Oreochromis niloticus: one gene and its partner. The protein of the gene in region 2 purifies or fractionates together with the protein of the main gene of each other region. This does not show direct contact. Links are inferred from orthologs where the notes say so. Each region holds a gene or a part of one and is shown on either strand. Other genes may lie near its edges. The genes, in order: kif14 and kifbp.

Region 1 (7,813 bases), on a different chromosome or scaffold from region 2:
AACCTGCCTGTGTGATGTGTGGTCGCTATGGAGAGTACATCTGTGATGCTACAGATAATGATGTTTGCAGTCTCGAATGCAAAGCCAGCCATTTAGTGCAAATGGGCATGGGGACTGGGGCAGATGCATTTATGCAAAAGGACCAAAATAGAGATGAAATGACTGTTCAAAGTCAACAGCCAGCAGCTGACCCTGGTAGGGTGGTTGAAAGTGAACCGGGCTACTTCTACAGGGAAGATCGGTTCATATCAGGCCTAACAGAGGAGCAAGTGCAACGAATTAAACAGGAGCTGGGCATAGAAACCCAGGGGAGAGATGTCGCAAGACCTGTTGTTGAATTTGAGCACTGCAGCTTCCCTGCCACATTAAGTGGTAACCTGAAAAAGGCCGGGTATGACACACCTACCCCAGTCCAGATGCAGATGGTCCCTGTTGGTCTCACAGGCAGGGATGTGATTGCCAGTGCAGACACAGGATCGGGGAAGACTGTAGCCTTTCTGCTGCCAGTGGTCGTGAGGGCACTCGAGGTACAGTATTTAAGCTAATATGTCACATACAAATGCCATCAAGTTAAATTATATTTGAGGAGGCAGACATTTCTACAGCCTGGATAAATAGCACCACAGCCCAGATCTAAATATGTAAATCTGGACTGAATCTGCTTTTGTATCAAGCGTTTGCCCTCCTGAGCTACCCCTTAGCAAGACACTAGACTCCAGTATCTGACAGAAAAGCTGCTCCGTAGTTGCCAATGACCTCTGCAGATAAAAGAGTCGAATTGAATAAATGTATTCTCAAAAAGACACAAACAATTTTACATTTAAAAATTCACAAATCCTCTCTTGGTGACATGCAGTCTGTAACATTGCTTCTGCTTTCAGAAATCAGCACACAGTGTGGGCAGCCCTGTGGCTCTGATCCTGACCCCCACCAGGGAGTTGGCCATTCAGATAGAGAGACAGGCCAAGGAACTTGTGATGGGACTCCCCAACATGAGAACTGCCCTGCTGGTCGGAGGCATGCCGCTTCCCCCACAGCTCCACCGCCTGAAGAGCAGCATCAAAGTACAGTCTCTGTTTTATTTTTCTTAAACAATAATTTCCTCCTGCTGCAGTCAAAGCTTGAGGCTGTACATTTCTCCCATGCCATGGTTTTGTTCATTTCTCAATCTCCTTTAGATTGTCATCGCTACTCCTGGGCGGCTCATCGAAATCTTGAAGCAGAAAGAGCTGAAGCTTGACAAAGTGAAGATTGTGGTGGTTGACGAGGTAGGACAAACATACTGAAATTCACAATTGACAAAAACTCTGCACTTTAAGACAAAGTAATTCAGTTCAATTCAATTTATATAGCTTTAAGGATTAGTAATGTAAAAGTTGTATTTTAGAACAGACAACATAATGACAGCTTTTGAAAGTATTCATCTATGCATTGTGTAGAAATCATTCAAATCAGTTTTGAGAGTCCTGCAACATGAAAGTTGTGCTGCATCCTGTAGGTGGACACTATGTTGAAGATGGGCTTCCAACAGCAGGTTCTGGAGGTTCTTGAGCAAGTCCCAGAAGAACATCAGACTCTTCTGGCGTCGGCCACCATCCCCACCGGCACGGAGGAGCTGGCCGCCCGGTTGGTCCGTGACCCTGTACGTATCACTATTGGCGAGAAGAACCAGCCGTGCGCCAACGTCCGACAGATCCTGCTTTGGGTAGAGGAACCTTCCAAGAAGAAGAAGCTATTTGAGATTCTCAACGTAGGTCATAGATGAGATGTTTTTCAATCTTAAGTTTGAGTTTTTAGATTAAAAATCATGAAGTCTTACAAGGTTCATTGTAAGTGGAGTATTCCTGAACACACTTCCACTGCCAGCATATGGTTTCTTTTACTGGTCAGTAGATATTTTTAGTTTTTGAATTCAGACCAGGTCTAATTGGACTTTGCACTCCAAGAAAGTACTTTAGAAGAAAAACACAAAGTTTTTCATTAGATCAGTTTTAGGTTACAGTTTATTTACTGCTCAGTCTTGACACGCACTGGTACCAGCTTGGTATTTTAACAGCTGGCTATTGTTGGTGGGAATATTTTAAAGTCCAATGAAGAACCAGCCTCCCCTTCTGCCATATTTAGACAGCCACTGTGGACACTCTGGCCTCTATCTGAAGGAAACGGGTGGGCACAGTGCCATGGTACCACTCCAGGAATCCCAGCAATAGCTTGCACTGTTTATATAAAACAGAAATGGTCGACTTTAATTAACTTGAAGGAGAAAAGTGCTCTTAGGTCGTAGTTTGAGTAACATAAGACTCTTTTCTTATAACTCAGTAACTCATAGTGTAAAGCTATTGTCTCACGAGCAGTGAGTGAATTGTGGAACTGCAGAGCTACAAAACTGGGATTTGGATGAGACACGACAAGGAAACCTGGAAAAACTGGAATGGACATGACTCAAAAACTAATCAAAGCAGTTGCTTCATATATAGCAGCTCTTACAGCATAGTGCATAATAGTTGACTCAAGATTACAATAAGTTCTCCCAAAGAACAGTAAAATTAAGAAGGTGTGATTGGGAGTATGCATTTCTTCCTGACTTGTCAAGTTACAGTTACTGCTACCTGTTGGAGGGCTGGAATGTATCCAGATGTGTAGATGCCTCTACAGGCACATAGTATACATAAAGTATTAGTTATATAGCATTTTTGGTAAGATTTTATATAGAAAATATGTAAAATGTAAAAAAAAAAAAAAATATCTTACTGCTATTTTAATTTTTTCACTTTTCAGGATGGTAAGCTGTACCAGCCTCCAGTGGTAGTGTTTGTAGAGAGTAAACTCGGCGCTGATCTGCTCTGCGAGGCAGTCGCCAAGGTGACGGGCCTCACTGCCGTGGCAATCCACTCTGACAAGAGCCAGTGGGAGCGCAACCGCATCCTCCGGGTGAGACCAGTGGGAAAACATGCACAGGGAAGAAAAACCAAACAATGCTTCCACGTTTGGTGTCCTAAAGTGTTTATCTTCAACAGCACAGACAGATACCCACAGCTGAGGCTTTCCCCAAGAATCCAGCTTTAGTCTGCATGTCCAATGCAAAGAGACACAATGCAGAAAAAAACACTGTTTTTCCATTTATGTGCTTTAGTTCTTAAATACTGACACCTTCTTAACAGGTGACTGAAGAGGTGTGGATTTATTGATACAGTCAGACAAGGCCTGAAACAATCCAGAATAAATCTAAATTATTAGGAGTCAAAGTGATTTATAATCCCAGAGTCCCACTTTTAGAGTATGTAATTTTACTGGCTGATTATATCAGACATAAATATGCTGAATTATTTTATGGACACCTCGGTTTGTTATCTCTGCTGTGTGTAAAATATAATTATGGGAACTACATGCTTATAAAAATAGGCTTGCCAGTAAATGCAGTTCATTATTAATGTCTGCTGTATATGGTACATACAGACTTCTAATTGTGGTTTTCTCTTCAGGGTCTTCTGGATGGTGACTTTGAGGTAGTGATCAGTACAGGTGTTCTGGGCAGAGGGCTGGACCTGGTCAATGTCAGACTGGTGGTTAACTTTGATATGCCAAACACAATGGATGAGTATGTCCATCAGGTTAGTCAGCACTGCTTAGTATCACTTTTTTGTAGTTTCATTAGGAAAACCTTTCAATTACGACAGCTAATCTAATATTACCTTTTTTCCCCATCTAGGTGGGCAGAGCAGGTCGGCTGGGACACAGAGGAACAGCCATCACTCTTCTCAACAACAACAACAAACGGCTGTTCCTGGAGGTGGTGAATCGAGTCAAACCCACTGGCTCCATTTTGCCCCCTCAGCTCTTAAACTCACCGCACCTCCACGAACAGCAAAGGAGGGAAAAGCAGAGAAACAAGAAGGACCACGAGGATTCACTGGTTACCACAAATAACCTCCTGGACATCATAAAGAAACATGACCGTCGCAAGAAGTAGCAACTTCTTCCAGTCTTTCATGAAAAGTTGCTTATTTATTGTGTAACTTGTAAATGTTTAATTTGTATATTTTGTTTATAAATAAATACATGAAATGTGTTTTCTATATCTGTTTTTTTAGATCTGTGTTTTGTATGGTTAGTGCAAAGTGACTTAATCAAAAAGAGAAATGCTCCACACAATCTTCCACATTTTTCCGGGCTTAGAACTGGCACTAGTGGCACACAGTGAGAGGAGCATGAAAGGGGCACTGAAAGAAGAATAACAATCCTCATTAATCCAGACTTGAACCAAGGTCCAGATGCCTTTGAGCAAGGCATTGAACGCACCCTGCCTTTTGTACAAACTTTAATCAGTCTGATTTTATTCTCATTTATTATTCCAACTAGAAGGTAATTTTTTCTCAAAGTTTCTCTGGAGGTTTTATTTATATCTCACTCCCTTCCTCAGTAGATTTAGGGAGTTTGAGACATTTCGTTTATTTTAACGGTAAAGGACTAAATTTAGATGGGAGCTTATGACTAGCACATTTTTTCCACTGGTACGCAATCTCTGAGATGACTATCGGTCACAGTTTATTTATTGTGGCTCGGTATTGTGCTGCCATCTAGCGGTATCATAAAGTGCCTACAGGCCGCGACCATGACGTGACGTAGCACTTTCAGAGAATCCAGCCAATCAGCTGCCAGTGACGGTGACGATTTGAAATTGAAGCGGGTAGAGGCGGAAGCGAGGAGGAGAACATAAACAAAAGAAGTTTTTTTTTTCGCAAGTGCAAGTAATAATTTATTCGAATGGATTTTTATTTTCCTTTAACTAACATATGGAGTCATATTTACGTCCGATTTACGTGGTTTTTAAATGTAGTTGTTCGTGTAAAGTGCATCTGCCGTTAATTCGCCTCTCTCGTAATTACACCGTTTAGGTTTCTAACAGTCCACAGCCATGTCGTTATTTAGCGTGCAAGCGAGGAAACACACCGCTTATTACGACAATCTGCTGTCAACATCAACGTCCAGGACACCCGGCCGAGAGCGAAAGATAGCCGACACGACGCTGGGCAAAAGTGTGACCGCATCAGGGGAGTCTGCATGTGAAGACAGCAGGTCATCAGATAAAAGCCGCCCGGTGAACAGGACGTATGTCGTCTCTGCCCTGTCAAAGAGCGGCAGCGGGCAGCAGACCCCTTACCGAGCTCGGCTCACCCTACAAAGACGGTCAAGGAGGAAGACCGGGGCCGAAACGGCGGAACAAACGATGACAGACAGTAGCCAAAGCACCACAGCAGCTCCGGAGAAGAGACTGACTCTGCAGCGCAGGACCAGGACTCCCTCCATGGACAAGAGCGGACGTGGACAGCCTGGTGGCCTGCAGTCAACTCCCAAAGTTCTCAGTGAACCAAACGGGAGGACACCTGGTTTATTCAGGTCTACGAGCTTAAGAGAAACTGCGACTCATGTGCAAACACAAGGGAGGTTTGCACAGAACAAGACCTCCTCCTCTTCTTCATCTTCAAGTAGAAACACAGACGAGACCCAGACATTTAAAACGCCGACCAGAAAGACCCCGTTTGAGAGAATCGCTGCCAAACGAGACGTGTTTGAGAGACTGGCAGGAAAAGAAGCTCCCAAGCCAGTGTTGGTCAAATCTGCCAGTCTGGAAAGGCCCAAACCCCGAGCACAGCAAGCCGAAAACACTAAACCCGTCTCGGCTCCTCGGATCAGCAAGACGACCTCAGGTGTGCGAAGACCTGACACGACGCTGCAGGTGATAAAGACAAACACCTCGAACCAAAAGGGAGACGTGACCCAGGTCAGGACATCCGATCCTGCTCCTCCTGAACAGATCCTGCCCAGTACCAGTGAGGGTCTGAAGCAGCAGGACTTGCTTAAAATGGAAAACAGTGCTGTTACCGTGGCTGTGCGTGTTCGCCCCTTCAGTGCCAGGTTAGTGTTTAACTGCTGGGTGACTGAGAAGCAGGCCCCCGTGTCAGTATATTAAAGTCTGGTTCTGGAAAATCTGTGTATAAAACACTGGCATGCTACTTGTTTAAAGAAAGAGAAACAACACATTTCTGAAGTTTTGTGTTCTGCTCTATTACAGGGAGAAAGCTGAGAAGTCCTCACAGGTCATCTTCATGAATGGCCAGGAGACTGTTGTCCAGCATCCAGAGTCCAGGCAGAGCTACTCCTTCACCTACGACTTCTCTTTCTGCTCAGTGGATGCCAGCGACTCCAACTTTGCCTGCCAGCAGACCGTGTATGAGACGCTGGCCAAGCCTCTGCTGCTGAGGGCCTTTGAAGGATTTAACACCTGCCTGTTTGCCTATGGCCAGACAGGTTCTGGTAAATCATACACGTGAGTGGACTCACTTTTCATTTACATCAGTGTTCTCACTTATGTGGTCATGTTTTTTTTGTTTTTTGTTGTTGTTGTTTTTTTTACTTTTGTACTGTAATCTGTCACTTTGATGTGTTAAGACTGATTGTTTTGCAGGATGATGGGTTTTGAGGAGGAGGTAGGGGTGATCCCAAAATTCTGCCACGAGCTTTTTTCCAAACTGGCCTCAATAAAAAGTGAAGAGGTAAGCTCTCTTTTTGTTTTTGTTTTTTTTTACATTTCTATTCCAATTTCATTTTTATCTGAAAAATAATTAAATGATCTGTTTGGGTCCCTTTTGAATCTCAGGTCAAATGTCATGTAGAGATGAGCTACTTTGAAGTGTACAATGAGAAGATCCATGACCTGCTGGTGACCAGAGAAGAACCAAACCAGAGGAGGATGCCCGTGAGTAGTTTGCTGTTGAGTGACACTCATCCCTGGCACGTGTTTTTATCTCTAACTTGCCACTGTGGTTGACTTACCCCGGGGGAAAAATGTAGAAAACCTTTGTTTGGATTTGTTTTCCAGCTGAGGGTGAGAGAGCATCCGATCCACGGGCCTTATGTCGCTGAGCTCTCAGCGTAAGAAAATCCCGTCTTTCTCTCTTTATTCGCTGAAAGCTTGAACATTCTTGCATGGTATGTTTTTCAGAATTGCTCAGCTTGCTATTTCTTCACAGGAATGTGGTGCGCTCTTACAATGATGTTCAGGTAAGATGAACCAGTTGTCTTTTTATACTCTCCTGTTAGTGGGTGCTTTCAAGAACAAGCTAGGTCTTTAGTGTCAAGCAGACAAAAAGCCTGTTAACCGAATCTAAGAGGGTTGTCATGGAAATGAATATCTTCAAGTGAGATTTCACACAGAGAATCAATAATAATTTAAAGTACTTTTTCCTTCTTCTTTAGGGCTGGCTGGAGCTCGGGAATAAGCAGAGAGCCACGGCGGCCACAGGAATGAATGACAAGAGCTCCAGATCTCACTCTGTCTTCACCTTGGTCATGACCCAGACTAAGGTATGGACTCTTCACTGTGTATTTACACCTCTTTTCCCTCTTTGAGTTTTTACGTAAAAAGAATACAACGTTAATACGGGGGGAGTGGATGAATCGTGCTTACATTAAGTGCCTGTGAATCCATTTGTGTTTGTGTGTGCAGACTGAGCTTGTGGAAGGAGAGGAACATGACCACAGTATCACCAGCAGGATCAACTTGATCGATCTGGCAGGCAGCGAACGCTGTCGCTCTGCCCAGACCAGTGGAGACCGACTCAGGGTGAGTACATGTTAACTACCATCTGTGGTTAAGTCATTAAGCAGTTAATCATTGCTTGTTGGAGATTTTTAGGTGAACCACGGTATATAATTTTTATCATTCACAAATCAGAGTACAGTCTCTTGTCTCAGAAGGCTCTGGTTTCTTTGCATTGTTGGCCTGTTCATTTATTTTTTTTATGCAAAATTG
Region 2 (7,375 bases):
TTTTTCCACAAAAGTCCCTATGACTGCCGCTTACTCCGGAGATGTTATCAAATGGTGATTAAGAAGCTATAAAGAACAAATAAAATCTAAAAACTGTGCCAGTAAAATCCAACACTTTTGCAGAAACAACAAAAGATGAATGTTGCAGCAATTTGTTAACGGTTAATCGTTAGTGCACAGAGCAGTAAAATAATCATTTTGGTTCAAGTTTTTTAGTTGTCGAGTGGATTCATGGTGCTGCGTTTATTTCTTAGGTGACAGCTGCACATTATAGCTCTGAAACTTTACTGTTTAAACAGAGCCAGTTTAAAGTTTACTGACCTATAGCTTAATTAAGCAAATGTGCTTAGTTTTTTTGGCAGATCAAATAGGTACTCTTCATGTGTGTTCTGTGTTCTAATAGCTGCAATTCAGTCCGTGTAAAAGAGACTTAGCAGCAGATTAGAATCAAGTATAACAACATTTACACATTTTATAAATTATCATATTAACATGTGCATATTCCTGTGACAATGCCAGACTGAGTTTGAACTTCTTTCAGTGGTTCTAGTAAGGGATGGCTTAAACTGGACATTATTCTCTCAGCTGCAGACTCAGTACTGTTTAAGGGTTTGAGAGTAAAGATTAAATATAAAAACAGAAATCAAACATAGACTTGATATGATGTCACCAAGGGCATTGTAGGGGTCCTGCTTTAGGATCAGACAGTAATGCCTACACAACAATGCAAGAGTTTTAAAATTGTTCCCTGTCAACAGAAAATAATACATACAGTAAATCTGCATGTAAGAATCTATATTTATTCCTCAATCAGAAACACAATGACTTTAGATGGTGATGAAAAACTTTAGACCAAACCTACTCTCCCTGCAGAGATCCAAGGAATTTTAGGAATGGTGACGCTATGTTCTGGAGAACTGACTGATCAGTAGGCGGTGATTTTAGAGCTGTTGATCTCTAATCTGGAATTTAGCCTGCTCCAGACGAGGTTACAGTATAAGCTACCATGGCAAGTTACCCCGGTAAGAAGTGAACCAGCTTTGTAGTGCAGAAAACTCAGGGTTAGTGCTGAAATGACCTGGATAAGACACAGTCTTTCTTCTTACTACAAGCTTCTGATCTGGCTGTGTGTGTACGCTATAGTATGCAAGTTCCTGTTAGCTTTCCACACAACTCGTGACTTCCCACCCTGCACTTTATAAACAAGATGGCAGAGTCCAGACCAGGACGCTAAAAAATGAGATTTTCATCGACACGATATATAAATCAATGAATTAACATGTCCTGCATGTGTCCAAAGCATCTCAGCCTTGCCTCTCTAACTCAAACCTGTATTATATTCATTTCTAATCACGTTCATACTACTGATGAAAATCTGAGCATCTTCCGCTCGGCACTGCCATCAGCTCCAAACACAGCAGGTCTCACTCCCATCTTGTTAAACCTCCCTTTTTACTCTTGCTACCATCATCTGTCACATTCTGAGCAACTCCTATGTGACATCTAGTGGTTGTGAATACTGCATGCAGCACTTTTAAAAGAAAAAGCATTTTATATAACATGCAGAATATCTTAGGTTGCAGATCAAATGTCTATAAATGACTTTAAGCTGGCTATATGCTTACCTTAGTGATGTAATACTGGGATAGTGTAGCAGCATTTAGAGCCCACTCCATTGGAGTAAACTGATTTAACTGTAGCTGTCTCTGCAGGGTTGTGTGGCAGTAGGTAGCGGCACGCTCAGTTTGACCTGAGAGACAAAACTATAGTTATTATAGTTATTACAAGTAATTTAAATAGCTAAATAGGGGTCAGATGCAATTTCTTGTTGTTTCATCAGTGTAATTTTTTTTGGTGGGTATTATCCTTAAATGATCTCATACTCACCCAGGTTTTTATAAACTTGAGCAAGGTAGTACATGGTATGGGTGTAGGCCAACTCAAACCTATACACAAGGAAAGCAGAGAGAGACAAAGGGACTAAATAAAAGCAAGGAAATAGCAAAATCCTGGAAATTTGCTGTGGAAGTTACCTCTTAATCCTTTCCTGGTGAGTCAGCAGGTTCTCCTCAGCAGCAAAGTACTCTGTCATATCAGTGGGAGGACTGCCGTCCTGAAAAAAGAAGAAGAGGATTTACCTATTGTGATTGCAGCCATACTGTGGGGGCAGCATTACCTTCCTGAAAACTAATATTTCAATCAATCCTCATTTTTTAAAAATAAACTTTTATTCAGGAAATCAGCCTTGCCTCCTTCATGTAACGTTGATAGATGGATTCTGCAGTTTCGAGGAAGCCCTGTGCAGTCTCTGTCTCATCCCGGCCTGCCCAGAGGATACCTAGCTGGTTCTGAAAACACAAGGAGACAACACATGAGCATCAAATGATCATGCATCATCTGATGGTACTACTATAGCAGTGTGACTCTTAAAAACATGTAGCAGTGCTTTATTTATAACGCTTCACAAACACTCTGATGGAGTGTTTTCAAAAATCATCCTTAGCATTATAATCACATGTCACACGTTTAATACATATTCTTATCAGTGATCATAACATAACTTCTGTATGTAGTGTAATTTTTATTTATTTATTTGTTTGTTTTAAATAGCAGCTTTGTATTATTGTAAGAAAGAAACGATCAACGTTACCCTAACTTGGATAAACAGGGACACATTCGGGGACGACACTCTGCATCTCTCCAGCAGCTTCATGCAGTTCATTAGGTGCTCCTGCCCGGCTGAAAGCTCCTCCGTGTCCACATGGTTGACGCCCAGGTAGTACTCCACAGCTCCGAGTCTTGCGGCCCGCAACCCGGCTGGTGAATCACCGCTGAAGCCCTGGCCGAACAGGTCCTCTCTCTGCCCGTCCACCGGCTGCTCTGTCGGCCGTTGTTCGCCGCTCTCTCCGCCGCCCTCCTCTTCACCTTCGCCGGCTTCAAAATTCTTCAGCGAGCAGTATATCTCTCTGAGAAGCTCCCTGGCTTTGTACTTAGAGCGGAAGGGGTCATTTTCTTTATCGTTTCGTGATTCTATTTCTGTGAGATTTTGGGCGTTCGTGAATTTGTCGCAGATAGCTCTCCATTCGTTGCTGTTGAAGGACGCCATGTTGGTCCTCTCAGGCGTTCTGACGCAGCTGCGTGCTTCTTGTTGGGCGTTTATCAATATGCGTACTTGTGCGTACTTGTGCGTACTTGCGTTCTCGTGTACTCGTGATACGTCATCAGTCGGAGACCAAGTACTATTCCAATTCGAAGTACGCAAAAAGTCCCGGATGTGTTCTCGATCCGCCCGTTTTATCGAGCATGCATCGGTGTGGACTTGGGACAGCTAAATATCCCAGAATGCATTTCGTCCAAAACTCAACAGCGGACTCCCGGCACATCGTTTTCAACCCCCCCCCCCACCCGCTCGCGGACTTCTCACTACTCAGGTTAAAGAAACCCCAGCAGCTGTCTATAGTATTGAGTGTCCACTAGAATAGAAATAAAAGCGTTCTAACATCTCACCTGCTTGTTTTTATTAAGGTATGTACACTGCAATATTTGCCTTTATTTATCTGAAACTGAAGTCTTATGTTCCTTAAGTACATCTACCCTGTTGAACTTATTATGGGAAATAAATATTTAAATCAAAACAAGCTGCTGATTATTTCACATTTTACTTGTGAGCAACGGCACATTTAAATCTTACAAATATAGTTATTTGGCTTATATCGTGATATATATCGTTATCGCCAGAAATGAAAAAAACATATCGTGATATGAAAAAATCTTATATCGCCCAGCTCTACAATTAACTCAGAGTGAGCGCTGGTCTGTTCTGAATTTTCTCTTCATGTCTGAACAACTTCTTGCTTCTCACTCAATTTCCACTCAACCCCCACAAATTATACATCAAAACGTAGGTATTTTTGCTGGCTTTCAGACAATGTCACTATCTTTATTGTGAGATTTACCGTTTTTTCGCAATTTGCCTCGAAGTGACACATGGTCTGGTTACTCCCCATTCAAAGTCTATGGGGAGGTTTTGAAATTCAGAGCTGAAATTCTGTAACGGGAGGCATTTTCAAATCGTCATATCTCTTAAACAAAACAAAGTTAGGACATGAGGCTTGTGCCAATATATCTTCAGACACTGCTGACACTCACAGTGGAAGCAGTTTTTACAATTATCTTACCGTTGAGCCATAAATTACGTTTGTTTGAGGGGTGGAAATCTGTCCTCCTCTCAGTTTTCACACTCTGAAAATGAAGCCGTTTCTTCTCTCGTCATATCTCCGCGACGGAGGGACAAAGAGCAATGAAAATCGCAGTCAAAGTACGCCAAAGTGCGCTGATTCACCCAGTACAAGTTACATGACGTTTTGTAACTCCAAAAAACGGCGCTTTTCGCCTCTCACCGCGATCTATTTCTGATTGCTGATGTCTTTGTTTTTCAGCCGCCCGCCCCCTTCCCAGGTGGCGCAATCAGTAATGACACGGCTCTGCAGCTCAAAGGTCGTGGGTTCAATCCCACCTTGGTCAACCTTTTTTTTTCACTACAAATGAGTAGTGCAAAAACATACTATGTCTGCAACATCACAGTATATCTGTTATGTTATAGTATTACTACTAAATCACAGTATTTCTGCCAATTCAAGGAGGCTGACTGTTACTAAGTGCATCAGTGTACATAGGTCATCTGTTGTGTTGGAGTGCCCTTTTGTGGCGCCTCTTGGGTAGTGCCTTAGTAAACGTGAACACTGCAAAGAAGTGGTATCAGACTGGTTTGTAGTGGAGGAATTTGTTGCCAGTTTCTTTCATCTTTAATCCGTATTCATGTTGTAATGTAGTAACTTTTGTGGCACAAACACCACAATATGGCAGAAATACTATGTTTTGGCACAAATACTTTGATTTGGTATACTTTAGCTTCTTCACCCCTTTTCAGCAAAATTTTCATTTTTTTCACGCCTTTTCAGCACAAATTCTACCTTTTTTGGCTGTTTTCAGAAAAAAAACTCTTTTTAGCAGAAACTCTGCTCTTTTCTGCAAAATTTTCAGCCTTTTCACCTCTCATCAGTACAATTCTCAGCAGCTTCTGCTAATTTCAGCACAATTGTCAGTCTCTCCACCTCTTCTTCATGTGAATGAGTTTGGTTCAGTGAGATGAGTAGCTGCCTTTAGACTAGGAGGGCCAGGTTCAAATCCTGCTCAGGGTGACTTTCGTTTTTTTTCCACCACCATACAACTTTTTGCAACTTTTCATCTTTTTCAGCTTTTCAGCAGACAGCTTCAGCGTTAAGGCATCCACACAGCATTTTCGCAGGAAATGCAAATTTTCTAGTTATTCCTGTTTTACTCCATTAAAAGCATTACTCGCCCACATTTCGGAGTTCCATTGCAGCTTTAGATTTTAATTACAGTTATGGTCAAATCAAAAGGTCACTTCACTTAAATCATTTTTGAAGAAACAATGATTTTGCTGTCACACTAGCATATTCACATGAGGTGAAACAACTTTGCAACAAGAATAACACACATCAAGCGCAATACATACAAAAGATCAAAAAACAGATTATTTATTTATTAATATAAATATGATTTTTTTCATGTCAATATGTGTGAAGTTGTCAGTTTTTGTGTAGTGTCAGTAGCCGTGTATAAGTTGTGTAATGAATAGCAAATATAATCATTACCATTATTACATTACCATGCCTACTTATTTACAACTTCTCTAGAGGTGATGCATATGATATAGCTGTAGGCATAAAGATAAATTATGTTTTAGAAGGATCTTCACCAGGGCCGTGCAGAGACGTTTAAAGGGGCGGGTGCTCAAAGTTAAAAAGGGGCACATTGAACCAGGCTGAATAACAACAACACACATTCATCAAGAATCTAATATGGGATCGCATCATACTACATCACTGTTGTGAGGTGGCAACAAGGCAAAGCAAACGTAGCCTATGTTTTACCTGATGGGTACAATGTTGCTGTTGAGGGGTTGCTGCGGCTCCTGCTGCTGATAGTGCTGGAGGGCAGGGCTGTGCTGATCTGAGACTGTAGACCTTAAAATGTTCATAGGAGAGATGGTAGCTGATTAAACAAGTGTCATGAGATAATAACTAAATGCAAAGAACATAACAAAATGGGCTTGGAACCACAAAGCAACAAAAAACTGTGAGAAATAAACTAGGCTCTGCCTGTGAATCACTATGCTTCTCTTCTTCTTTCCATCCCCTCATTTCATATATCACTCTCCACTTGCTGTCTATCTGAGAACAAGGCACAACTTGCTATTGCAATAAACTATTATTTAATTATCCACACCTAACAACTGCTGCATTTAATCTATACTAAAATGATGACAGAAAAATGTTATAAAAGCAAAACATTCCAGTTGTGCTTATTATTATTTTTATACTGGAATACCTCTCCAACAACTGGTACATGTGCTAATGTTACCTGTGCTCTTTGTAATCCAGCTGCTGAGGGATCCACTGCCTTTAGTATCCTCACACAGCTCCTACTGTTTCCTCCTCATGTCCTTACCAGCCATGTCTGGACAATGTTATATCATTAGTAATAATTAAAAAAAAAAATCGAATAGTTATGTCTATAACTTCTGTTCCCTGAAGGAGAGGAACGAGGTACAACACATAAGTATGGGATATCACGCCCTCGCGTGTCCTGGCTGAAGAAACCTTTATTCACGCCTTTAAGGCAGATGACGTGTGATGACACGCGCACGGCCCCGCCTGCACATATAGCCGCTGTCATCACAGTCATCCCTCAGTTCGATAGCCGCTCTTCAACGAGCCAAACTGCTCAGTGGGGCCACCTTGTGTTGTACCTCGTTCCTCTCCTTCAGGGAACAGAAGTTATAGACATAACTATTCGTTCCCTTTCAGTCGATTCACTCGGTACAACACATAAGTATGGGACATGTACACCACGGTGATTGGCCTCATCAGTGACAACGATGAGACCGCCTACAGGGAGGAGGTGCATCGTCTGGCTGAGTGGTGTGACACAAACAACCTGCTGCTTAACACCGAGAAGACCAAGGAGCTCATCGTGGACTACAGGAGGAATGCTGACCCACATCCACCCATCCACATTAAGGGGACGGCTGTGGAGCGTGTGAGCAGCTTCAAGTTCCTGGGAGTCCACATCTCCGAGGATCTCACCTGGACGACCAACTGCTCCAAGCTGGTCAAGAAGGCTCACCAGCGCCTCTTCTTCTTGAGGACTCTGAGGAAGAACCACCTGTCCTCAGACATCCTGGTGAACTTCTACCGCTGCACCATCGAGAGCATCCTGACCAACTGTATAACAGTCTGGTACGGGAACTGCTCTGCCTCGGACCGGAAGGCGTTGCAGAGGGTCGTGA

The links.
Region 1: the proteins of kifbp (region 2) and kif14 purify together in Homo sapiens (affinity purification with mass spectrometry; 3 studies listed by BioGRID and IntAct, counting the BioPlex papers as one, with this or other methods). This does not show direct contact. The link is inferred for Oreochromis niloticus from reciprocal best matches to the Homo sapiens genes KIFBP and KIF14.

What each region holds. Positions count from the first base shown.
Region 1 is NC_031980.2:33,890,066-33,897,878, forward strand, and holds the start of kif14 (kinesin-like protein KIF14), read left to right. Parts: upstream 1-4,660; 5' UTR 4,661-4,915; coding exon 4,916-5,916; intron 5,917-6,073; coding exon 6,074-6,328; intron 6,329-6,466; coding exon 6,467-6,554; intron 6,555-6,658; coding exon 6,659-6,757; intron 6,758-6,880; coding exon 6,881-6,933; intron 6,934-7,031; coding exon 7,032-7,062; intron 7,063-7,257; coding exon 7,258-7,365; intron 7,366-7,507; coding exon 7,508-7,624; intron 7,625-7,813. Other genes in the region: putative ATP-dependent RNA helicase DDX59, read left to right, coding at 1-527, 882-1,064, 1,179-1,268, 1,499-1,750, 2,779-2,931, 3,483-3,611, 3,710-3,970. UniProt on the Homo sapiens protein: Microtubule motor protein that binds to microtubules with high affinity through each tubulin heterodimer and has an ATPase activity. Plays a role in many processes like cell division, cytokinesis and also in cell proliferation and apoptosis.
Region 2 is NC_031965.2:25,094,949-25,102,323, forward strand, and holds the start of kifbp (KIF-binding protein), read right to left. Parts: upstream 3,141-7,375; 5' UTR 3,107-3,140; coding exon 2,651-3,106; intron 2,349-2,650; coding exon 2,250-2,348; intron 2,114-2,249; coding exon 2,034-2,113; intron 1,947-2,033; coding exon 1,888-1,946; intron 1,751-1,887; coding exon 1,626-1,750; intron 1-1,625. UniProt on the Homo sapiens protein: Activator of KIF1B plus-end-directed microtubule motor activity. Required for organization of axonal microtubules, and axonal outgrowth and maintenance during peripheral and central nervous system development.